Linked DNA regions of Callithrix jacchus. The protein of the gene in region 1 purifies or fractionates together with the protein of each later gene. This does not show direct contact. Links are inferred from orthologs where the notes say so. Each region holds a gene or a part of one and is shown in the gene's direction. Other genes may lie near its edges. The genes, in order: CDC26, ANAPC7, ANAPC4, NEK2 and CDC27.

Region 1 (4,145 bases):
AAAGATGAACTCACAACTTGCATCTTACCAGAGGTTATATTAATATTTCCAGCTTCGATTCCTGCTTTAAGTCCTTCTTTCCCCAAAATCCCAGATTCTCCTTTGGCCAGACGCTCCCTCTCCTTCTCTTCCAAACTTCCATAATAGATATGTGGCTTCTTCACAACCGGAGCAACTAAGTCATCAGGTGCTTTAGTTTTGGTTGCCTGCTAAATCAAAAATCTGACTTAAACTAACGCTTAATCTTAACAATTTGCTGGACTTCCCCAGAGGATGAAGCTCACCCTGAGTTTCACAGTCCTACTTCCTCTGTAATTGAAAGGACAAATTGGACACTGCTTAAGATGTTCTTCATTGATTTGAGGAGATGAGGGTAGGGGGAGGGTGTTTCAGTCCCTCACTTTGGTTGACAGGATTGATAAAACTAGTGAGGTTCTCTCGGGTATTTTTCTATCAAGGGTTTGCTCTGCAATCTGTTTACTTCATTCTGTTGGAAGTGTGCAATCTCGTGTTTTACGATGCTTCCAGGGTTACTGCTCATCACTGGGGAAGTACCAAATATAGATGAAATAACTAACGCGGTGCTAAAGAAGAACAAGTTACAAGATTACTAGCGTATATATTTCAAACGTTTCTAGACCTGAGGCAGTAGGAGTTAGTAGGTCTCATTAAAGTTCTGAGATCTGCCAAAGGCATCAATCTTGGCCAAGACACTTCCCTATTTCAGAGCACCGTTACTGGATCAGTCCGAAGAGATGTTTGCCCTTCAGGGATGTAGTCGGAGAGGTGCAAATAAGCTATAGTCCACGAAAGCGCTTAGGGATCAGGAAAACGGTGCTCGGCTGTCTAGGACACGGAGTCCCACAGCCTTCCTCCTCGGCCCTCCACCGCCTTCTCCCGTTCCCTAACGGCCCCTTCCCGCAAGGACCCCCTTCCCCCTTCGCGCTTCCTGCCAGAGTGAGCTGAGATCCCGGGCTCTGTACCGTGGAGGAAGCTCGCGAGGAAGCCATGCCGGGCTCTGGAGAAAAGCTACAGCGAAACCTGAGGTCTCCGATTCAGATCGTCCACCGCGCGCCCAGCAGAGCGGATGAGCATCACCGATCGGAAGTGCGTCACCGACCGGACGTGTGCCGAGAGCCGTAGCCGCGCCCGGAGCGGCGCGGAGCATGATGGAAGTCGTAGTAGGAAGCGGTGTGATCGTATTGAGGGGCATGCCTCCTAGAACATCGGAGAAAGCTCGCGCAAGACGAGATTCTGCTGAGAGAGAGGCTCCAAGTAGTCTGGGAAGTGTAGTCCAGTTGGCTTACCAATAGTTTCACTGGGGGAGCGGAGGTTCCGGGAAGGGGCTGAACAGGCTTGAAAAGAGGTAGGTGCGTTGCGTCGCGCGGCTCGGGGCTGAACTCTGGAGCGAGTCGAGGACTTCCGGGGTCCGCCGTGCCACCCGGGCCTACCGGAGCGTTTAAGTCTTCCTGGAGCTGAAGACCTTGTTACCATGGAAATCCTCGCCAGGGATCCGAGGTACAGGCTTGGAGCTAGGGGACAAGGGCTGTTTTTCTCCACAATCCGGAAGTCTTCTTAGGGGCCCCCTCTGAGCTTGATGGCTCCGCGGTGGATTTAGGCTGCTAGAAGAGCTCCCTAGTGCCAAAGTCAAATAAAGACCCGGCGGAAGAGCTTCGGCCTGACTTTGTTGATTTGTCTAGAGCCGGTCGTTGTATCAGATTGAGAGTAAGATGATGGATAGGAAGGTGTCAGATAGCTCTGTACGTCCCTGTGCCCTGCTGGATGCTGGGGAATTAGAGACAAACAAGGTAAGTTTTTTTTTTTCTTTTGAGACGGAGTCTTACTGTCGCTCAGTCTGGGAGCGCAGTGGCGCGATCTCGGCTCACTGCAACCTTCGGTCCACCCCGACCCCGGGTCAAGCGATTCTCCTGCCTCAGCCTCCCGATTAGGTGGGATTACCGCCACCGGCCACCGCGCCCGGCTAATTTTTGTATTTTTAGTAGAGACGGAGTTTCACCATCTTGGCCAGAGTGATCTTAAACTCCTGACCTCGCGATCCACCCGTCTCGGCCTCCCAAAGTGCTGGGATTACAGGAGCGAGCCACCACACCCGGCCAGGATAAGGCTTTTATCTCCACGTGGGAGGTGGATGATTCTCAAAACATTGAGGTTTCCCTAGCTGGCCAGATCCCCATCCAACCCCCTAGAAAAATTACAGTAATAATAGATTTTATTTATTGCACATTTTTAAAATGCCAAGTTATGTTCCAAGAGCTTACTCTTTACTCTGCATTATATTATTCACCAACAATAGCAGAGTCAGATACAGATGAGGAAACTAAGGTCTAGTGAGAGATGAAACTAATTATTCAAGATCAGTGGTGTAGTGGGATTAACCTCTACAGCCACACTATTAACTGTTACTCTATACTTCTTCCTAGTGGAGAGTTTTTCACAGTTTGCAGAAAAGGTAAAATGTATAGCAGATTTTTTTTGTTTTTTGTTTTTTGAGACGGACTCTTGCTCTGTCACCCACGCTGGAGTGCAGTGGCACGATCTCGGCTCACTGCAACGTCCGCCTTCCGGGTTCAAGCGATTCTCCTGCCTCAGCCTTCTGAGTAGCTGGGATTACAGGCGCCCGCTACCACATCTGGCTAATTTTTGTATTTTTAGTAGAGACGGGGTTTCACCATGTTGGTCAGGCTGGTCTCAAACTCCTGACCTCCTGATCTGCCCGCCTCGGCCTCCCAAGTGCTGGGATTACAGGTGTGAGGCACCGTGCCCGGCCCTTACTGACTGTTTTTTATAGATACACTCTAGGGGATTTTAGGGGATGCTGTGGAGAATATACAAGTGATGTCATCAACAAATATTAAACTCAATTGGAGGAGTTGTGTTTTCTCAAAAAACAAACAAAACAAAAACAGTTTTTATTAACATTTACTTTGCGATTTCAGGCTGTGGAATGCTCTCTTGAGCCTGTTTTCTACTTCTTTTTTTTTGTTTGTTTTTGAGTTGGGGGTCTCATGGTGAGATCGTGGCTCATTGTGGCAACCCCAAACTCCTGGGCTCAGGTGGATCCTTCCACTTCAGCCTCCTGAGTAGCTAAGACTGCAGGCACACACTACCAGCCCAGCTAATTTTTTTACTTTTTTGTAGCGACAGGGTCTTGCTAGGTTTCCAGAGCTGGTCTTGAGTCTCCTTTGTGCACTCTTCTCTCTGCCTGCTCTTGGGAGTGAGTCAGCTAAGACATCATTTTCTCCAGGAAGGCTTGCCTGACATCCTTGTCCACCCCACACTCAGCCCAGACTGGATTAGGTGCCCGTGTGATGCCAGTGCCTTACCCTCATCAGAGTTCTCATTATGCAATATCAAAGCTTTCTCTTTGTTTTCTCCACAGATTATGACTGTACCTTTTAACTTTGTAGCTGGAGCACAAGAAGTATTTGTTTAATGAATGACGGACACATTTAGGATCTGTTTAAACGCTGAGAATAATTTTGTGAATTGGTGAGTTGGCGTTTTCATGAGATTTAGCAAACTGATTCTAGCATTCAGGAGTGATCACAAATCTCTGACAGTCCTCATGTAGATTAAATTCAGCGGTTTGTCTACTTTCCCCTCTATACTAAGTTAAGATGTGACAGTTTATTCTTTTAGCTAGAATATTTCTTTGAACGTGACTGGAACATGAAATTAAAGTGATGGTTGCCTGGAATTTCTCTCTTTTAGGCAGTTTGCTATTTTAAATTCTTACAGAATAGTTTTTGGATTTTTCAGAGTTGTGGATCTCCGTCATGTATTAAAAATGTAATAATGACATACCTAAAGACTTAAGAAGTCACTGGGCACAGTGGCTTTGGCCTGTAATGCCAGCACTTTGGGAGGATGAGGAGGGAGGAACACCTGAGCCCAAGAGTTTGAGACTAGCCTGGGCATCAGAGAGAAATCCCATTTCTACAAAAAACACAAAAATTAGCCAAGTGTGGTGGTGTACACCTGAGTTCGAGCTACTCAGGAGGCTGACGCAGTAAGATTGCTTGAGCGCAGTAAGTTGAAGCTGCAGTGAGCTAAGGTAATGCCACTGCACGCCAGCCTGGGCAAAGAGCAGACACTATTTCTTAGAGCAGACCCTATCTCTTTAA
Region 2 (2,814 bases), on another chromosome or scaffold:
GTTGTACCTAGTATATATTTTATATTCTTCTTTTTCAAATCAAAGTATTGTAAGTACTTTCCCATGTTTCTATCTACTGTAGTAGTTAAGAACTTGAGGTCTGAAGTTTTGAATACTACTTTCACCACCTGTGATCTTGGGCAAGTTACTAACACATTTCCTTGTCTATATCTATCTACCTATTAGACATTAAATGATTGAATGAGGGTTAAATGATTATAACATGTAAGCTCTTAGCCCTGTGCCTGGTACATAGTAAATACTAAATAAATAGTGGTCTTCTTACTGTTTAATACAGAAGTGGTTTATTTGAGGGTTGTCCGTGTGTGTGTAAGATTATATGGTGAGGGGCTGTCTTTAATAGAGTCTGATCACATTCAGTTGTTCAGCACACAGTTGAGCACCACTTGTGTGCTTATCATCTCAGTGACCATTGGAGATGATATGTTTTGGGAGCTGTCAGTCTTAGACATGCAGACTGACCATACCACATGCTAAGGGCTTTCATAGCAGTCTGTAGAAGGGAAGGTGTGAGTCCAGAGGGCAGGAGCCCTGGGTATGGGTGAGAGCTTCAGAGTATGGGTGTGGAAGGGTTCAGCAACTAGGAGACCAGGAGATATTACAGATCGGTCCGCATTTACATTGTTAGAAACAGAATGCCAATGTGGGTTTTGGCTGCTTTTTAGAAGCCCAGAAGCAAGAGAGAAAAAAAAAATACTAGACTTTTATTAGAGATGGAGTTTACTAGGCGTGGGACACCTGCTGGCTTGGGTGATGGTCACCAAGGCAAGATGAAAGATTGCTTAGGAGGCAAACAAATGAATGTTCTAGAGGCTCTGAACTCTGGGGATGGGGGTGGCACATTTACTGACTCCCAGCTACTAAATGTGAATGCTCGGGTAAGGGTAGCCTTGGGTCCTGGGGTCTAACCTAGGTGTTTACAAATCTGTTCCATGGTACAGCATGATGTTTTTGGTTGGCTCCTGAAATGCTGATATATTTAATTACATCATAAGAACATGGAACACCTCTACTCAGAGAAATTCCTATTTTTTTTTGTAACCCCATAGCTCAAAAACCCAACTTTCTGGGAATTACGTTTGAATTTACCTGTTAATGTTTGTTTACCACTTTTTCATTTGTGTTATCTAGTAGCCACTAGCAGAATGCTAGGGGTAATAGGAATGAAAAAATTTAAGAAATTTGTAGAGAAAAACTCAAATTGAGAACTCTAAAAATTAGGAAAAGACTCCTTTTTGCCCTTCTCATGGTGGACTCCATCAACCCAGCCTCGGAAGCCTGAGTTGTTTGGAGAGGCCAGGCTTTAGCACTTTCTCTGGGACTGTGTGGTCATTTCACTGCTGGGCCAGGGAGATGACGAATCAGCCAGCAAGAGCAAGGCAGAGATTCAGGCCTCTCCTTTGTTTTGTTGTCCCCTAGTTTGGACCCCAATGACCAGAAGTCTCTAGAGGGGATGCAGAAGATGGAGAAGGAGGAGAGTCCCACGGATGCCACTCAGGAGGAGGATGTGGACGACATGGAAGGGAGTGGGGAAGAAGGGGACCTGGAGGGCAGCGACAGTGAGGCGGCCCAGTGGGCTGACCAGGAGCAGTGGTTCGGCATGCAGTGAGGGGGCGGCAGCTCCATGGCCGCACTGGCCTGCCCTGCTCTGAGCACTTCCGTGGACTGAAGGAACCGTAGGAGCCTGCTCTCAGGAGGACAATGATTCAGCATGTGATTGCAGCAGGGGTCTCTGCCCCCTTGCTCCTGATTCCTAGATGTGACTTCATTTCTAAAACAGAGCCTGACCAACCTTCCATGTATCTCCATCCTCCCCTGCTCCAGCCAGGGAGGACTGAGGGAGTGCCCTGAGACCCACACACATGTTGGGGCTTCTGGGCCAAGAGTACTTTTTATATAACTAATTTCTAAATCCAAAAGCTCAAGGAATAGACAGTGTTCTGTCAGTGATGTGGATGGGTTTGAAGGAGTGACCCACCATCCCAGCACGATAGTGTCACCTCCTAAGTTGGATGGCAGCACGATCTGGCCCTAGAGGGCTTCCCGTTCCCAGAAGTCATTGTCCTGGGCTATCCAGACATCCCTAGTAATCTTGCTTCCTTCTGCAATGTTAGTAATGCCTTAAGCTGACAGTTGCTATTTTGCAGAACAGTTTTCCTCTTTGCTTAGCTGGTAACTTGCCTCTCTGAGCCTGGGCTGATTTGAGAAACAGGTGTGATGAGAGCATGAACAGAGGTTCACCTGGGGCAGTTCCCTAATAAAACTGGTTTGTATAGTCATGGTGTTGGGTGATCAGAATGGAAGCTCTTTTTAAAATAGACTTAGTTTTTTTGTCTCTTATTCAGAATGCATTGATTTAGCCCCAGAAGTATTTGCCAAAAATAGACTTTTTTCCCCTAGTGTTGGGAGCCAGGAGGGTTGGAAAGCTCAGGAATCCTGAGCTGGTTCATCTGTTGCATATTGGGTAGGTAAGTTTCCCTGGAGCCTGAGATTTGGCCGGATTTCAGCTAAGTCTGCCTGGCTCTTCTGCTGCAGCTGTGAGATTGAGGTCTGGTTCCAGCAGTCTGTCACTGGTCAGCCTGAGTGTCACACCCTGAGCTCTGGGGCTGGGAGTTTCTTCCCCCACCCCCTCCCTTGTGTCTTAAGTTCCAGTGGCTCTGAGTATACAATTAATCAGAGGTGGGGGCTGGGTGTCACAGCTAATCCCAAATTCAAAAATTAGTCCAAGGTGCTACAAAATAATGAATTTGATGTCAATAGAAGAAGAATCCCAAAATGTAAAAACTTTAAGTG
Region 3 (3,516 bases), on another chromosome or scaffold:
GGTTCTAATAAAATGATTCACTACTGCGAAGTTTATAACAGATAATTTTTAATGACAAATTTGTTATAATTCATATATCATTGAGAGATATTTTCCCAATATTTATAAGTAGCCTTTAATTCCTTCTATTTCCCTTAAGTTTTTGCATATATTTGTGATTTAAAAATTTCTTTGTAACACCGTTGCAAAATAGATTATATTACATTTATTCTGTCTACACAGAAGGGGTTGGTGACCCAGAGAGAGTGATTTGCGTATGGTTATGCATAGGTTAGGTGATCCTAAGGCTGTGTGCTGTTAGTTTCCAAACCATTAATGCTCAAAGAGGGCAGAATTCTGACATAGTCTTTGTGATACGTAGTTTAACCTACACTCTTAAATTGCAGGCTTTGCCGCAAGTGTGTCTGATGGTGACTCACTTTACTCTTTTGATTTTACAGCTTGAAACCAATCTGTTGTACTCTTTCTTACCTGAAGTAACTCGGATGGCCAGAAAGTTTACTCACATTTCAGCTCTTTTACAGGTATTTATCTAGAGCTTGTTTTATGTGAATATTTATTGGCTTCTAAAGTTCTATAAGTAAAAAACTTCAAAATGTTGTTTTGTAAAGCTGTCTGAAGTAGGGGCATCTAGTCTGATAGATAATCTTATAAGGTCCATTAAAGCAGGGAAAGAACATTTAATTTAGAATCTACATCTACCACACCCTATTTTCCACCTCTAAAATAAAAGGAAAAAATAGTTTAAATCTTTAAAATAGTCCCATAAATAAAATACCATCGGTAATATAAAGTATTGTAGGAAAAACAGTCTTCACCTGAGTTTACATTTGTTTATAATAAACCCACCCCAAATTAGCTCCCAGTTCTCTAGGTTGGTGATTTAGGCTAGGCTTAGCCAAGAGGTTGGGTGACTAGACTTGGTCATGCCAGCTGATATGTGTTCCTTGGCTGTGATGGCCTTGTCTCTATTCCACATCCTTCATACTCCAGCAGGCCAGCACAGGCTTGTCCACATGGTGGTGGTAATGGGGCATTGAGGGTGCAAGTGGAAGCATACAAAGACTGTTGAGGCCCTGGAGTCAACAGCATTATTTCTGCTGCATTTTGTTTGTCAAAGTGAGACTCAAAGGCTGAAGAAATTAACACTACATCTGACTGAAGGAGCTACAAAAAATTGTGACCATATTTTTTCATTCTATCACAGTCATTAATTTATTTGATAATAAAGGTTTCTAGAGATCAGTATCTTTTTAAGGATCCTATTTGAAAATTGAATAGTTAGTTGACCAAACCAGCATTTTGACAGTTAGTGTACATAAGACAAGTCTTCTATAAAAAGCTTGGGGATATTTGTTTTACCAGATAAAAACTTAATTTAACAATGTTTTATTATGAAATTCTAAGAATCAGTGGAATGTTTCATTATTAAGTGATGAGCAAGCTATAGTCTTTTTCTCCCTCTTAACTGAGTTAAAAGAGTGATTGAGACTGGGCAGGGTGGCACATATCTGTAATCCCAGCACTTTGGGAGGCTCAGGTAGGCAGTTCGCTTGAGGCCAAGAGTTTGAGACCAGCCTAGCCAACATGGTGAAGCCCCGTCTCTACTAAAAATACAAAAATTAACTCAGCATGGTGATGCATGCCTGTAATGCCAGCTACTCGCAAGTCTGAGGCAGCTTGAACCCGGCATGTAGAAGTTGCAGTGAGCTGAGATGGTGCCACTGCACTCCAGCCAAGACAACAGAGCAAGACTCTGTCTCAATAAATAAATAAATACAAGTAAAGGAGTGATTGAAAATAAATTCATTGAGACACTTGATCATAAGCACATATTTAGATAGCAAGTTGGTTTAAATATTTTTTGTCATTTCAATTTTTTTTCTTTTTTGCTAATAGTATATAAATTTGTCACTAACATGTATGTGTGAAGCATGGGAAGAAATACTAATGCAGATGGATTCTCGTCTCACCAAGTTTGTACAGGTAAAGCACATGAAGTTTCTCATGGAGAGAGTTAAGGAATGCTTGATGTATGTATTTACTTTGAGGTACATGAGAAAAATCAGTTGGATGCATACAAAAAATACAAAAATTAGCTTGGCGTGGCTAATTGTGATTAAGATTGTGATTTTTTTCAAATGGCTTAGTCTAACTTCAAACTGTTTTCTCAGATTTCCAAAAAGGGCTCTTTTCCTATTGGTACAGCTTAGGTGGAGACAGGATTGTGAAGTGGAGCTGGTGGGGCTTGGGCAATAAGGGCAGATGTTAGAACAGCTGACTGGCTGTCTTCTAGTCACTCATGTTTGATGATCACTTTATGGATTGGATGGAAGTTTAAGGCAAGGAAAGGGAGTCATGTTCCTGTAATTTTGAATAAATATGCTTATAATTTAGTAAATATATCACAATTTTTTTTCTTTCTCTTTTTTAGGAAAAGAACACAACCACATCAGTGCAAGATGAGTTCATGCACTTGCTGTTATGGGGAAAAGCAAGGTAATAAACTCAGATTAGGTGCTCCTGCTTTTGCTTCTTTTTTTAACAGTAATTATTTATTTGAAAAGTAGTTTTATTTGAAAAGTAGTTTATAGTCATATGAATTTTTTATTGATACATAGTGTTTTTAATTGATACATGTTTTGCATATTTATGGGGTATATGTGATGTTACATTCATACAATTTAATTTTTGTTGAGCTGTTTCTTTATTTTGTTTCAAAGTCTTGTTTGTGCTTTGAAATTTGAAAGTTCTAAGTGATGCATTCAGATTTCCAATAGAGAAGTGACTAAAAATACTTTGTTTTTCATTGTAGTGCTGAACTTCAGACTCTCCTGATGAATCAGTTAACAGTAAAGGTGCAGTTAATGTATCTATGTGTTAAAATGGCTATGAACATATTCTTAATTTTTTTTTTGAGTGGCATATAATATCCTAATTGTATGCTAAATATATTTTCTTCTTTCAATTAGGGCTTAAAAAAGCTTGGCCAGTCTATAGAGTCATCATATTCCAGTATACAAAAATTGGTCATAAGTCACTTACAGAGGTATGAAGATGAAATAGAATCTTTTGGTATTGTATCCACACATACCTGGCATTGGCCTTCTTTCTGCCGCCTTCTCTTCATCTGGCATTCTCTTTTTAAACCTTTTCTAGCTAAAATTGTTGCATGGCATTTGAGAAGAATCTTCGTGTACTCAAGACTGAAAGAGTCAATAATAATTCTGCTTTATGAAGTAATTCTCCAGCATCTTTTCACCAGGCTAGACTCTATCTGGGGTTTTTTCTTAATCACCTAAGCATGGAAGTATATTTTGAAATAAGGCATGTATCCCTTTTTTCAGCAGTGAGATTAACATTTTACAGTTTACCAAGATTATTGTGTTTATTTAGTATCTTAGCAAGGTGTTGGTCATTTCAATCTTTAACTTAAAAGGTTAATGCTGGGTAGGTTTACAGTGACACAAGAGGAAACAAAAGTTCAGAATCGGTTATATGGCTGGCCCAAAGTTA
Region 4 (3,516 bases), on another chromosome or scaffold:
TTGTTTCAATGTTATACTTTTGATTTGGGACTTTGCATTTTAACAGACTCTAAATAATTCTTGTGCATGCAGATTCGGAGCTCAGAAAGTTTGCTCACTTCAGATAACATGTTTTTACAGTGTTAACTTTTTGTACATGTTATTTTTTGTTGTCTTTTCCTGAAATACCTTGCTGAGTCCACTCACCCTTTACCTATATTGCTGGAGATTTTGTTTCCAAAATATTTCACCATTTGTATGAATTATTCTTTCTTCCCTTTTGGTTATTTCCTTGGAGTGTAGCTCATAAAATTAAATTGCTGGGGTAAAAGGTATAAACAGTTTATGGCTGTTGTTAGATATTGCCTGATGGCTTTTAAATGTTTAAGTCAATTGGGATAGCACTAATATGTTACTATATGACATCTGAACAGATAAAGATGAAGAAATATTTATTAGCATTTTAGTAGTTCACCTTTCTAAGATTTTCCAAATCTTTAGAAATTATGTTAACAGAGCTGACTATAGTATAAAACTTTGTAAATTAATGATTTTTGTTTTGATTAAGATTAAAATGGCCAGAACAGTACCATTTTCTCACTGTATCAAATTTCAAATAGAACACTTTTAACATAAAAGATAATTATCCAGAAGTGGTTCTTGGAAAATTTGAAACCTATTCTTTTGTTCCTTTTCCCTCCTGCCCTTGTAATTAGAGTGGTTCAGACTAAGGCCCTGATTGTCAAAAGGTGGCATCAGATTGACCAGTTGGACTTGAAAACACTAATCAGCCTCCTAGAGATTTGGGTGGTGCTTGCTTCTGTTCCCGCTATTGAGAATAAGAGCTCTGGTAGACTGTTGTTACTGTAGATGTGGAAGAAGGGCAAACATTAAAATAGGTAATGATAATATTAGTTACTTCTATGATTTGTGCAGTGGACTAAGAAAAAATATAAATGGATAATTCCATTAGCTATGTGTAGATCCATTGAAATGTGGACTAGATACGTATTTTGATTATTCTTAAATGTTCTCTAGTTCTTTTAAAATGGTGTTTCTTGATTTGCCTTGAGAGTGGAAGTCTCTCATATTCACCTCTGAACTGTCAGTGTTTAGTTTATACTAAGCACTTTTATTTGTGAATGAAAAATGAGTGAATGAACTATATATGACAGATTGTAGTGGAACAAGATCAATGCCTTTTTTCCATTATAAATTTGAAGATAAAGTGTAGGCTAAAAACTTTGAGGTTCTGTTTTTATCTCAGGAGTAATTTAATATGTTTCATAAGTTTCAAAACAAGATAAACTCTTAACACCTTCCACTTTCTTGCCCTTTTTTCCTGTATAGGAACAAATGAATCGCATGTCCTACAATGAGAAATCAGATATCTGGTCTTTGGGCTGTTTGCTGTATGAGTTATGTGCATTAATGTAAGTATGATGAAGACAAATTCCTAGTCTAAGGTTTGTACCATTTGTCACCTTTCACTGGGTTCAGTTTTTTGAACATGCATGCTAATGAAAGCATATTCAAGTCTGAAAGAATTGTACGTTGGGTAAAATTAAGGTAGATGGACAAGTTGAAAGAAACTATTCATAAATTAAAACTATTAGCCATGAGGCTGGGTCCTGACTGTTGAAGTGTCTTGGCTGGTTAGGTGCTTCCCTGTTAGACTGACACTTAGCTTAAGGGGGAGAGCACATAGGTCAGGCAGGTAAGGTAAAGCCACTGTAAGGATATGGAAGAAATGATATAAGCCTCAGGTAGAGGTCTGGGGATCTGTAGAGCAGGGAAGAGCTCCAATTATTTCCCTTTTTTCTTCTTTTCATTTTTTTCCCTTTGAAACTATTCTGTAGAGCAGTGGTTCTCAACCAGGGATGAGGGAAGCAAATTTGCTTTTCATGGGGCATTTGACAATGTTTGGATACATTTTTAGTTATTACAACTGGTGAATGCCCCTGGCATCTAGAGGGTAGAGGGCAGGGGGGCTATAAAATACCCTACACTGCACAGGACAGCCCCCCACAACAAAGAATTATAGAACCTCAAATGTCAATAGTGCCAAGGTTGGGAAACTTACTTATAGAAGAAAATCCCAGAAATAGAAACTTAAATACAAACTAGAGGTGAAACTGTGCTTTTGATTTTGTTCCTGTTGTATATTTTCATTTTTACAATTTGAAAATGTCTTTGTCGTCTTTTTCTTCTTCTCTTTTAATCCTAGGCCTCCATTTACAGCTTTTAACCAGAAAGAACTCGCTGGGAAAATCAGAGAAGGCAAATTCAGGAGAATTCCATACCGTTACTCCGATGAATTGAATGACATTATTACGAGGATGTTAAACTTAAAGGTAAAGATGATAAGATGATATATTATCTGTTTCTAGCTGTCAGTTAAGTGTTGGAGCATACATTCTCTGTTATCGACCGGTGGAGACTGAAGAAACATTAAATATACTTTCTTAGCTAAATATACTGTGTTAACACAAGTGAAGACATATGTAAATTTGGTAAATTGTACATCCTTGCTGGCCCACCTTCTGCGCTTTATTTCTCCTCCCACTCTGCCATACTAACAGATGGTAGCAAGGAAAGATTGCAAAAAGAATTCAAATCCTCATTCCCCTTGTCTTTGCGTACCTCATAGTGGCACGTGGTGAGGGAAGGGGCCAGAAATAAGACCCTGCCTCTAGCTCTAATTGAGAGATTAGAGACCAGAAGAAAGGGAGGGGTGATGGAGGGTGGAGAGAGGACAGCTAAAAAGAGAAGAGGAAAAATCAAAGAGATTACATGGAAAAACTCTGGCTATAGATGGGGAGGGAGATGTTCTGGGGATCAGGCTGACATAAGAGAAGAAGGAAAATGCTGTAGGATCACAGATAAAGAAACAGATGAAGTGACAGGATTGAGAGAAAGAGAGTATCTTGCTAAATGTAGTTTAAAGATGCAAGGGCAGTACTTCCCCTAAAACAGACCCTAGCAATGCTATCAAGCAGCAGCACAAGATGTGCCAAAGTACTTCAGGGACTGAACCTTCTTAGAAAGGTGAAAAGGGGAAAGGGGACAAAGGTAAGTTAATATCTGCATTACCTTGTGGACCCAGAACCTCATGAGTTAAAACCATCATTAAACTTATTTTTTCAAGAGTGTAAGACCTATCCATAAAAGAGTGCTTTCTTTTGTCTTGGAAATACATTTATGTCCTTTCATTGTAACTGCTGTCTTAGGATGACTATTCTGTTATGCAATCTGACTATAACACTGAGTATTTTTCCCCCAGGATTACCATCGACCTTCTGTTGAAGAAATTCTCGAGAACGCTTTAATAGCAGATTTGGTGGCAGACGAGCAAAGAAGAAATCTTGAGAGAAGAGGGAGACAATTAGGAGAGCCAGAGAAATTGCAGGATTCCAGCCCTGTATTGAGTGAGCTGAAATTAAAGGAAATTCAGTTACAGGAGCGAGAGCGAGCTCTCAGAGCCAGAGAAGAAAGATTGGAGCGTAAGTCTGAATGGGGGTCAAAGCAAAGCGGAAC
Region 5 (4,295 bases), on another chromosome or scaffold:
TTCTAGCTTAGAGAACTCCTGACTAGTAAACTTTTAAACCTGTTTTCCTTATCTGCTGAAAAACAAAATTTCAACAGTTCCCTGGTTCACTTTTTTGGGGGGAGAGGAGGGACAGAAAGGTATGAGAGTCTACAGTGCGTGCTAGACAGAGCCACATTGGTGATACATCGAAGTCTCTTAATCCTTTTTTTTTTTTTTTCAAACTAAGCGAACAGAAGAATTTCAGAGAGGTTATAATTTGCCTAAGGACCTATGACTTGTCAGTGCTAAAACTAAAATTCAAAACCAGGCCTCTGAATTTCAGATCCCCTACTGTTTCTACCACAGCGGAATGCCTCTCCTATCAAAAACAAAAATTTCTGGCCGGGCGCGGTGGCTCACGCCTGTAATCCCAGCACTTTGGGAGGCCGAGGCAGGTGGATCACGAGGTCAAGAAATCGAGACCATCCTGGTCAACATGGTGAAACCCCGTCTACACTAAAAATACAAAAAATTAGCTGGGCATGGTGGCGCGTGCCTGTAATCCCAGCTACTCAGGAGGCTGAGGCAGGAGAATTGCGTGAACCCAGGAGGTGGAGGTTGCGGTGAGCCGAGATCGCGCCATTGCACTCCAGCCTGGGTAGCAAGAGCGAAACTCCATCTCAAAAAAAAAAAATTTTTTTTCTAACGGCTTATTGAGCGTTTCCATGATCTCTCCACCTAAGTACTTCCAATTAATGCCTTCTTAGCAGACTGATCTCATTTTTCTTCCCTCCACTTAATCCTATAGTTCCTTTTCCTCTAATTCTATCCATCCTTCAAACTCCAATTTAAACTTTTTTTCCCTTCCATAAAACTTTCCTCAGTTTAACACAATTTCCCTCTCTGAATTTGTGTATTACTTATAATAGGCACCACGTAACATAGCGTTCTCTGTTCCACTGCTTTTCCCTTAAATAGGCCTTACTCTCCTTGAAGACAAGCTATCCTTTATCTTTGGGGAGTGGCAATCTTTCCAAATTTCTTTAGATTTCCCCGAGCCGTGAGTAGATACTTTTGGAATGGACGAATAATCTAAACTCAATAGACAAATACTTGTTGATTTATTATAGTCAGCCCCAAACTCTGCTGTTTTACCCTTTACTATATTATAATCTACTGCACACCAATAAATCCAGGAGGGCCGAGTGGCGACTCCACACTGCAGCCCCGCCACGTAACGCTCCTCGCCAGTTCCGTCACGCCACGCCCAGCCTGCTGGTTGCTGCTTGGGCGTGGCCCAGCCCTAGGACGGCCGATTGGGCGTGGTATGCGTGGCTGAAGGCGTGGCCGAGAAGAGGAACTTACGCTCAGGGTCAGACTCGGTAGTTTCCGGTAATCCTCGACAATTTCCGGCAACGGTTTTTCCTCGTCGACCCACCTCGGGTATTTCCGACATACTTCGGGCCTTTCCGTCTCGTTTCCGCTCGGCTTTCTCCACTTCGGGTATTTCCGTGTCCCGCTCGGAGGCGCTCGGCAACGCTCGGCCTCCCCAATCCCCCGGTAACGGTCGCTGGTGAGTTTAAATGAGCCGGGGCTGGCCGGGCCGGAGCCGCTACCGGGGGGGCTTGAGGCACTGCAGAAAGTGATCCTCGAGGATGACGGTGCTGCAGGAACCCGTCCAGGTAATGATAACTCTCTTCTCTGAGGCCTGGCTCACAGCCTTGGTCGGGGAAGCAGCGTAGGGCCACTCCGCGGCCTGGTGCGGCCTAGGCCGGGCTGCTTCTCCCGCCTCTACTGCCTCCGAGTCCTGCCTATCTTTAGTTCGGAGGCCTTGCCCGCAACCTAAGCCATGTTACCTCGGGCCCTTCGTTACTTTCACCCTTAGTGTGAGCGGTTTCGTTGAGCATAACCGCCATTCCGGTCCAAGCCAACGTCCGGCCAGCCCTTCCTGTCAGTCCAGGGGCCTGGCTTGACCTGGGGTGGGAGATGAGGGTCCGAAAACGCACCGCGGACGCTCTCTTGCCTCAAAGATGATCGAGAAGCACATTTGATCAGAGCTTGTATGATGTTAGCGATGGTAGGGCAAGTTTGCGGGGGTTTTATTTTTGTTTTTGTCTTATGTGAGAGGGTGGAGGGGAGAGTAGGATCGGTCTTTTTAATACTAATTTCTATTTTGGTAACAGACTTCCTAGCCCACGTTGCCTTTCTCGGGGAATTTCCCACCGGACAATGATGATTTGAGAAGACAACTCCAAGCCTCAGTGCTGAGGTGCAAGCACCTATACCAGGGGAGCGGGTGGAAAGGGCACATCTGGGTTGTTTTCATCCTCGGTGAAGGGGATCAGGAGCATTTTGTTGTGCATGTTTATAAGGCATTCAGGAAATGAAAGACAAATAATGTTTTTTCTGTCCATTTCACCGCCCTTACACCAAGATATGCTTTGACGCACAGTGCCGTGTTACATTAACGAAACCCTATTGGATTTTAAGTATGTGATGCGGTGCCAAGTCATTCCCCCTCCCCGGGCCCCCCCACAGCTGGAGAAACTGAATCTTTTGTGCCTTGGGGATGGACCAGGTCTGGGAGACTTCATCCTACCATATGATGTTTGACTCGATCAGAATTGACCTATATCAACTGCTGTCATTGAGTCATGGACTTAATTTTGAAGTTACAAAGCAAACCAATTTTTATAAATTCCTTCATATTGCCCTTAAAAGGCTTGAGATATCAAATAGTAAATATTTTAACATACCACTACTTTCCTGTTTGTTTAATTTTTCTTCACAGCATGAAATACTCATTTCTTCTAGTTTGGCTTCTTCTCCAGCTGTTTACAGATAGCAGCTATTAGTGTTTGAATTCATAAAACCTAAGATTATACCTTATGAAATTTACCTGTCTGTAAGTTGTATCAGTTCTTCTAGAGCTATTTTCATCCAAATTCTTCTTAACAGTATAGCGTTTCTTTAAAAAATTTTTTTATTCTATGGCTATAGATAAGATAATTATATATACACAGTTTTTTTAGGCCTAGCATGAGCTTAAATAGATAAGCAGATTACTCAAGTTGTTTAATTTCTGTTGCATATCCTTGTAATTTTGTTTTAATAATTTTTTTTTTTTTGCTTTCTCTGGCTCCAGAAGTCTTCTGAAGTGATAAACTAGTTGCAGTGACAGTCTATAACCACCATTTAATAATAATTTCAGACGTTATAAAAGCATGGAAAAGAAAAGAAATATGTAGCCTATTTCTAGATAGTACCCATCAGGTTTCTTGTTTGTACTTAAAGTACTTTTGTTAGTAATTACACACTTGGGTATTTTTAAGGCTTAAAGGTCAGATTTGCCTGTTTTTCACAGTAGCATTGTTCACTAGATTTTTGAGATAGCGGTAGAAAGTTATAGGATATGACTAGGTGAGATTTTTGGTTGTATAGTATAAGAAGAAGCCATTCAAGAAGGGATGATTTGGAGCAGTGAGAAGAACTGGCAACTTTGACTACAATGATAAAGATCAATGATCAAGGATAGTGTTGCAGATGGGAAAGAATTAGTAAAGAAGAGAATAAAAATAGGACAGATATAAACATACTGTCTTAAAAAAAACTGTAACGACAGATTACATGCATTTGGAAAGCAATGAGAATGAGTTGGAAAATTGTTTTCTTTCTTGGAATGTCTCAGAGTTGATGGTATTACTAGGCATAGGAAAAAGTTGACAGAAAAGATGAACAACTATTTTTTGCATTTTTTTCTTTAAAGTTTTAACATAGAATGGCCAGCCTGATATACCATATATGCCTAAATTAAAATTCTGTCTCAAGTTACTACCTCTCAGAAGAGTATTACTTATATTTGAGTCCTTACAAAAATCTCACATATGAGGCAGAAGTTCTGTCAGATCTTTTATTTTTAATGGTAACTATTTGGAAAGACACACTAGCCTAAGTGACTTCAGTGAGAGCTTTTTGGGTATTTATAAAAGTCACCTGATGAAATTGGTATTTAAAAAAGAAGCAAAGAGATTTTATATAGATTTAGCAATTATTCCTAGGGGTAAGACTTCACAGAGATGTTGGATGAAGTTGTAAATAAGCTTTTTGAAAATTGGTTTCATAAGCAATATAGCAATTGGTACTACATACTTGATACTGCTTTAGAGATCATTAGATGGTGAAGGAGTACTTTTGGCTGGGGGTAAAATGTTGAGGGACAACATCTAACATGGATTCAAAGGGTATGGATCTTTGAATGAAAAATTTAGATTTAATGTACATTGGTAATGAATAACTATTAAATGAGCAGAAGAGTTTTTGAGCAGAGGAATTAT

The links.
Region 2: the proteins of CDC26 (region 1) and ANAPC7 purify together in Homo sapiens (affinity purification with mass spectrometry; 5 studies listed by BioGRID and IntAct, with this or other methods). This does not show direct contact. The link is inferred for Callithrix jacchus from reciprocal best matches to the Homo sapiens genes CDC26 and ANAPC7.
Region 3: the proteins of CDC26 (region 1) and ANAPC4 purify together in Homo sapiens (affinity purification with mass spectrometry; 11 studies listed by BioGRID and IntAct, with this or other methods). This does not show direct contact. The link is inferred for Callithrix jacchus from reciprocal best matches to the Homo sapiens genes CDC26 and ANAPC4.
Region 4: the proteins of CDC26 (region 1) and NEK2 purify together in Homo sapiens (affinity purification with mass spectrometry; 3 studies listed by BioGRID and IntAct, with this or other methods). This does not show direct contact. The link is inferred for Callithrix jacchus from reciprocal best matches to the Homo sapiens genes CDC26 and NEK2.
Region 5: the proteins of CDC26 (region 1) and CDC27 purify together in Homo sapiens (affinity purification with mass spectrometry; 12 studies listed by BioGRID and IntAct, with this or other methods). This does not show direct contact. The link is inferred for Callithrix jacchus from reciprocal best matches to the Homo sapiens genes CDC26 and CDC27.

The regions. Positions count from the first base shown.
Region 1 is NC_133502.1:161,586,196-161,590,340, reverse strand, and holds the start of CDC26 (anaphase-promoting complex subunit CDC26), read left to right. Parts: upstream 1-1,337; 5' UTR 1,338-1,366; exon of another isoform or gene 1,367-1,808; intron 1,809-3,400; 5' UTR 3,401-3,457; coding exon 3,458-3,510; intron 3,511-4,145. Other genes in the region: PRPF4 (U4/U6 small nuclear ribonucleoprotein Prp4), read right to left, coding at 29-209, 984-1,010. UniProt on the Homo sapiens protein: Component of the anaphase promoting complex/cyclosome (APC/C), a cell cycle-regulated E3 ubiquitin ligase that controls progression through mitosis and the G1 phase of the cell cycle.
Region 2 is NC_133510.1:113,283,893-113,286,706, reverse strand, and holds the end of ANAPC7 (anaphase-promoting complex subunit 7), read left to right. Parts: intron 1-1,440; coding exon 1,441-1,630; 3' UTR 1,631-2,300; downstream 2,301-2,814. UniProt on the Homo sapiens protein: Component of the anaphase promoting complex/cyclosome (APC/C), a cell cycle-regulated E3 ubiquitin ligase that controls progression through mitosis and the G1 phase of the cell cycle.
Region 3 is NC_133504.1:168,448,723-168,452,238, reverse strand, and holds part of ANAPC4 (anaphase-promoting complex subunit 4), read left to right. Parts: intron 1-440; coding exon 441-524; intron 525-1,899; coding exon 1,900-1,986; intron 1,987-2,434; coding exon 2,435-2,499; intron 2,500-2,815; coding exon 2,816-2,858; intron 2,859-2,972; coding exon 2,973-3,049; intron 3,050-3,516. UniProt on the Homo sapiens protein: Component of the anaphase promoting complex/cyclosome (APC/C), a cell cycle-regulated E3 ubiquitin ligase that controls progression through mitosis and the G1 phase of the cell cycle.
Region 4 is NC_133520.1:16,821,169-16,824,684, reverse strand, and holds part of NEK2 (serine/threonine-protein kinase Nek2), read left to right. Parts: intron 1-1,329; coding exon 1,330-1,412; intron 1,413-2,206; coding exon 2,207-2,333; intron 2,334-3,262; coding exon 3,263-3,482; intron 3,483-3,516. UniProt on the Homo sapiens protein: Protein kinase which is involved in the control of centrosome separation and bipolar spindle formation in mitotic cells and chromatin condensation in meiotic cells.
Region 5 is NC_133506.1:87,066,324-87,070,618, reverse strand, and holds the start of CDC27 (cell division cycle protein 27 homolog), read left to right. Parts: upstream 1-1,493; 5' UTR 1,494-1,616; coding exon 1,617-1,643; intron 1,644-2,144; exon of another isoform or gene 2,145-2,232; intron 2,233-4,295. UniProt on the Homo sapiens protein: Component of the anaphase promoting complex/cyclosome (APC/C), a cell cycle-regulated E3 ubiquitin ligase that controls progression through mitosis and the G1 phase of the cell cycle.